2 linked regions of the Saccharomyces cerevisiae S288C genome follow. The gene in region 1 interacts genetically with each later gene. Each region holds a gene or a part of one and is shown on either strand. Other genes may lie near its edges.

The links. Genes that interact genetically often act in the same process or in processes that back each other up.
Region 2: mutations in COA6 (region 1) and PNT1 together harm fitness more than expected from each alone (negative genetic interaction), as found in Saccharomyces cerevisiae (2 studies listed by BioGRID).

The regions. Positions count from the first base shown.
Region 1 is NC_001145.3:758,017-760,668, reverse strand, and holds COA6 (Coa6p), read left to right. Parts: upstream 1-1,837; coding exon 1,838-2,152; downstream 2,153-2,652. Other genes in the region: long-chain fatty acid-CoA ligase FAA4, read right to left, coding at 1-862; YMR244W (uncharacterized protein), read right to left, coding at 2,352-2,652. UniProt on the Saccharomyces cerevisiae protein: Involved in the maturation of the mitochondrial respiratory chain complex IV subunit MT-CO2/COX2. Thereby, may regulate early steps of complex IV assembly.
Region 2 is NC_001147.6:819,129-822,888, forward strand, and holds PNT1 (Pnt1p), read left to right. Parts: upstream 1-1,894; coding exon 1,895-3,166; downstream 3,167-3,760. Other genes in the region: DSE3 (Dse3p), read left to right, coding at 1-1,030; RBL2 (Rbl2p), read left to right, coding at 1,326-1,646; putative serine/threonine protein kinase HRK1, read right to left, coding at 3,460-3,760. UniProt on the Saccharomyces cerevisiae protein: Probably involved in mitochondrial export. Confers resistance to the anti-pneumocystis carinii drug pentamidine. May act by the removal of pentamidine, or its damage targets, from the matrix by an active-transport mechanism.

The sequences.
Region 1 (2,652 bases):
CAATGTTGTAATGTGTCAATACCACACCCTTTGGTGTACCAGTGGAACCAGAAGTGTACATGATACAAGCTGGATCTTCAGGCTTGGGGAAATGCAATTCAACCTCGTCCTTGGCCTTTTTACCTATCTCAATAATTTCATCGAAACTGTAGATTTTTATGTCCGGTCTAACTTCCTTGATTTTGTCAACAGCATCCTTGGCAGCCTTGTAAAGCTTACCATTTTGTCTTTTGTCACTTGGATCGATGGGTTCGTTGTGAATGACGAATTTTACGTTCTTGGCGGTTTTCAAAGGAACTGCTAATTTGGACAACAGCTGGTTGTCCGTGAAAATGGCGACGGAATCTGTTTCCACCATGGAGTGAATCAAACCGCTCTCACCCAAAGTGTCGTACGCGGTGACCACAGGAATACCTTGTGACATGCAACCAAGAAAAGTTTTCATCCACTTGTGAGAAGTAGAGGCAAAGATGTGGAACTTGTTCTCACCGTTAGGTTTAACACCAATCTTTATCAGCCCACGTCCAATGTCGTGCATTACGCAGATCATCTCCTCGTATGTCATGGTTATGTAGGGAGTCAGTTCGTAGTACAACCATGTTTTTTCGATGGGCTTATCCTTACCATCCACCCTCTTGACTATGGTTTTTTTCGTCTCATGTATATCTATAATATCTCTCCATGCCATACCGTCTCTCTTACCACCCTTGGTAAAACATTCCAGGGCGAATTCGTACAGTGTAGATGCTGAGGAGTTTATGGGTCTAATCAAAGGCTGGTCTTTAACCCTGATATTTCTTCTTGGAGCGGTTTCATGCTCATTGGCGGCTTCGCCAACTGCAACGGAATATTGTTCGGTCATTTTGATGCGTACTTCTTAGTTTTTCAAGAAATAGTGAAGAACAGAGAAAAAAATGATGTGTTACTAATGCTGGTTCTTTTGTATTCTCGCTTTTATGTCAACTCAGAGGGGTTGCAAACAAAAGAAAGAATGATCAGTTATTGTCTATCTGTTGAGCCTTATCTGAAAGAGGTAGAACAAAAGATGGGCTGTTTTTGTTGGGGTAAAGCGGCGCCGCGAATGTTCTTAATGAGGTGAAAAGAATGCAGAAGAGAAAGATGAGGGCTAAGAGTAGAAAGAACGAGATGAACGAAGGCCGAGAAACACCCAGAATAGAAAAATAGATCGCCGACAATCGAGGGTTCTTAATTGATGGGGACATCGTTGGAGCTTATATAAGTTTGCCGCTACTTGGCGAAGATGGTTGAGCTGGGCGGTTCGGTTTGCGCTTTTGTCTTTCTTGTTACTAAGTATGATTGTTTTTTGTTGGGAAACGGCAAAGACGCGCAGCCAAAAAGCCGAACAGTTTAGTGAGTCTCTTCTTTAAGCGCCCAACACGCTCCATCGTGTTGGATAAAGCGTATGCAACAATTATTTCGGCATCGAACCCGCGGAATAAGCATCGGCTCGGGAGATATTTTTGTTTAGTTGGTATTGTTATCGTGTATAAATTTCTGTCCCTGTGCATTGTGATGTAAATGGCCTATTGTATTGTCAGGTCCCTGTCCGTTCCTTGATGGTATATTGGCACCTGAGCAAATCCAACAAAACCGGGCTCGCCCGCGCGGAAGAAAGTGCGATTGACGATTGTAGCTGAGCTGAACAAAAGAGACGGACATGTGAAACGGTGCTGCGGTGGTAGGTGCTGCTTTGTAGAATGGGGGAGAAGATTCGCCTACATACATACATACATACATACATAGACGGGTACTATTGTAGCGCTGCGCAGGAACATAGATACACGAATATACAGAAAGGAATAGTAGTAATATAGCGATGGGCTTATTTTCATTTGATGGTGGCAAAAAGGAATCACAACCCCCTAATACCCGTTCACAGAGAAAGTTGTGCTGGGAGTCCAGGGACGCATTCTTCCAGTGTTTGGACAAGGCAGACATCTTGGACGCAATGGACCCCAAGAATAGCAAGAGTATAAAGTCGCACTGCAAGGTGGAAAATGAAAAATTTGAGGAGAATTGCGCCCATAGCTGGATCAAGTACTTCAAGGAGAAGAGGGTCATCGACTTTAAGAGAGAGCAGACCATCAAGAGAATCGAGCAGGAAGCTAAACAGAGGGAACGAAATCAGTGAGTTTTTAGTGAGTTATTGGCTCATATTAACATATATATTCCCATAAAACATTTGACAGAAAGGTAATAATTAAAGGATAGTCATGTAGATACAAACGAAAATTTTATGTTTTTTTCTTCGTTTTGCGAAAATTCGCATGAGTGTCTCTGTATATATATATAACAAAAAGATGAAAAAAGGGAAGGTAGAAAAAACCGCGCTAAGTTTTGGCAGTGACGGTGACTGTCTTGTACTTGGTCTCGGTGACCGTTGTGGTAATAACGTCTAGCGGATTCAGTTCTCTCTTGCCTTTAGAAGATGAGCCGCTACCAACATCAAAAACTTCGATGTTGGCCTTGGCGCCGTTTCTGGCGGTGACAACACAAAAGTTTCCACCACCAGCCCCGGAAGAACCACCGCCAGAACTTGTCACTTCGTTGACTCCATTAGAACTTGGGTCAATGGAGCATGGTAGGCCTTCACATTGTGATTCGTCATCACAAGTAATTCTAATACCGAAT
Region 2 (3,760 bases), on another chromosome or scaffold:
ACTTGAGGTGATTAGAGAGAAAAAATTTACTGACATGCAAGTTCCCAAGGGACCAGTTTGTCCTCAAAGCACGATTCTACCATTACGAGAAAGAAAGAAGGTAAAATCACTACCAATTCAAAGAAAAAGTTTACGTAGGCCGACGCTGTCAAAGCCTGCAGTAGTACAATCTTTAGGGCATAAGACACATTCGGATCATATTATTGATAAAGTGTTTGTCTCTCGCCCGGCCCCAATTGTAATGCCTGTAAAAGCCCTTACTCCTATTAATCCGGTCTCCCTAATGCAAACACAGACACAAGATTGCTGTAGAAAAAATAAGTATGGCAAAAGCGGTAGTGAAATATTGTTTGACGAAATTCTATCAGCCTATGAAAACGTTTCTACAAGCGATTCTACTGCCCTAAATTCAGAAATTGACAGAATTATCGATATATGCGCTTCAAAACAAATAGCTAAAAAAAATGAGGCATTTCAGGTACCATATGTCGTCTGCCCTGACGACACAGAGACTTTGTTTTCGTCAACAACACCAAAGTTGAAACCTGTCAATTCTAACACATTAAACGATGTCATTTCTAGCCCAGAATACACCACGTCTGGATGCAGTACATACTCTGACCAATCGAATTCAGATGAGGAATTGTCCGAAGTAGAAAGTATAGTATGGAACACGAATAAGAGGACAATGAGATCATCCATTGTGTCTGAAAGCACTAGTGAGGAAGGCTATTGCACTGCTGCGGAGACTTTGCCCTCAACAGTATCAGTGGAAGATCTGGATATACATAACAAGCTTCCAAAAGTTGCACAAACATCATCGTGCAATACGCTTTTGAATAAACTCTCTATAAGAAAATTAAAAAAAGTAATTCTCGATCCGCCTAAAATAATGCATGTCATGACTTTTGACGATGACAGTGATGATGGAGATGACAACGATGACGAGGATAGGGCTTTGAATATTCTTCAAAAAAAAATTGACTGCATTGAAATAGCAAGTTGCAGCAGTAGCATTTACAGCGAATAAAAAAATTTATTCTAGGTTTCAAGTAAAATCATACGTATATAAGTAGAATAATGGCATGAGCGGTGACACATTGTGTATTTGCACCAGAGGTGGTCATCAATAGAAAAGTGTCACAATTTCAACGATAAATGGCCGCTTATGTCGCACCTTTTGTAGTATTACCCGCAAAGGATCATAATGAAGAACTACTATGGCTACATATAAACAGAGCAGTTAGATACAGTGCGTCTTATAAGGGCATTTTTGAGCATAAAGCACAACAGGTTGAACTCAAGAAAACTACATTTCACTATCAATGGCACCCACACAATTGGATATAAAAGTCAAGGCCTTGAAGAGGCTGACTAAGGAGGAAGGGTACTACCAACAAGAACTGAAAGATCAGGAAGCACATGTGGCAAAACTTAAAGAAGACAAGTCAGTTGACCCATATGACTTGAAGAAACAGGAGGAGGTCCTTGATGACACAAAAAGATTATTACCTACTTTATATGAGAAGATTAGAGAATTTAAAGAGGATTTAGAACAATTTCTAAAAACTTACCAGGGTACCGAAGATGTCAGTGATGCAAGATCCGCTATTACGTCTGCACAGGAATTACTCGATTCTAAATAATCTATAGATAACCTTTTTCTTACCTTTTCGCATTTATTTTGATGCAGGTTTTTATACTTTATTATGTACAAACCTGTTGCGGATGAATAATAAATCTCGCTAGAAAATGCACGGAATATTATATGCAAAAGTAGAAAAGTGGAAGACGGCTGTTGATACAGTGACGAGATATAAGAACATTTTACTCTATATTTAAAAAGAACTTTATTAATCTATTTAATTGAGTTAACACCTTTAATGCCATCGATATGGATTCTCGAGTTGCACTGGTACGAAAATACATAGCACCATCGGTGATAAAAAGCGATTCTATTCAATTGCACGGTTTAGTGAAGGCACCACTATTTAAAGCGTTGAATAGCCGTTACAAATTAGGTTCACTACAGATAGTACAGGATGTCGATTGGAATGCGAAGACAACACCATCCGATTCTCCAGAGCCTCTGGCCGCTACTCTAAACTCTAATCGATCCCTACCAATGACTAAGTTCCCCAAGCAGGAGATCTTGGAACAGGTAAAATTGGATACTAAGGTTGGCAAATGGAGGAAATTCATGACAGGTTGGTTTAGAATTGGATTGTATCTTTTAAAAAGCTATAAAACAGGAATTCAGAACACGTTAAAAGTATTCTGGGATACTCGAAACGAAGAGCAGAAATTCAGCATAAAAAACGGTGCATTGGCTAACTTAGTACGGGAAATAGAAATGCATGAAATCAATACAAGACTATCGTCTTCATCATTGCCTACAAGTTCTTCAGCAAAAGCCCCATTAAGGCCACTTTCAATCAATAGGAAAACACTGGTGGAACTGATCAGACGAGATCAAATCTGGAAATTACCTGTATTTTTCACCTTAGTATTCATATTTGAGGAGGTAAGTGTATTGATCTTTACCTTTTTTCCACGTGTCTGTCCGTACAATTGTTTAACTCCTGGTGGATACAAGAAGCTTTCCAACTCATATATCAAGGGAACAACAAGCACACAAGGTAACTACGGTCTGGGTCCCTTAGAGTTTACTAAGCAAGGTACAATTAAGTATGAGCCACCATATGCAGTTCCTATTGAGAATTTGTATAATTTTCTGACAAGCTTTCCTCAAAGTATGATATCAAACTGGAAACTGTATATTTATAAAAAGTTAAAATTACAGAAGCTACTTTGCAATGAGATAGAAAAAATTTACCAGTATCTGTTTATCGATGACTGGTTGCTGTTGCAGAGTATACTCAACACTGATGTTGAGAAAACTAAAATCGCGCTAAGTGATAGAGAATTGGTTAACTGTATACTTGAAAGAAAACTTTATCACATGGGCGATGACTTGAATGAGATGGTTAATGACACGTTAGGGAAAGAAATCTTACTGAAAAGATTGTTTCTTTATTGGACATTAAGATATAATGACACTATATCCTTAAACGGAAAGCATACATTCAGTGAGAAATGGGGTGTCAACAATATATCATTGTTAAAATATAATTCAGAATTGGTAGCTACGAAAGATATTCAATAGATGTAAATATTCATGACATTATCTATGCTGTACATATTGTTTAAAACAAAAACTCTTTTAAACTTTTCTAATTGCAAATTCAAACAATAATTCAGTGATGTTTCTTGCTTTTGGAGCAAAGGGCAATGTTACTCTATATTGTATGTATAATATGATAGATACTCTTCCGTATATATAGTATATAGATTTTCGTCAAGCGTTTCAATTGGAAAGTGAAAGAAAAAAATAAGAAAAAATAGAAAATACAATTAAATTAATCGAAAAAAGAAGTGAAAATAATTGAGTAGTTCGTATTAAACCTTGTAGGTCTCTAAGTGAGCATTTTCCTCCCTAACCAATGTATGGTGATGGCCAGGCGCTCTAATAACTTTATTTTTTGAATCCATGGTACAGGCAGCAATGGCGGCAAACCATTCATCATTAAAAATATCATCTAAGGTTGCTCTTTTCTTTGGATCTACTTGCAGTATACGGGACATGATAGGTCTTGAAGCATGTGGTAGTAGACGTAATAGACGGTATGGGCCATGAATAATTTTTTTATGGTGAGGTCCTCTGTGCTGTTGACTCGATTTATTATCGGAAGCGATACTA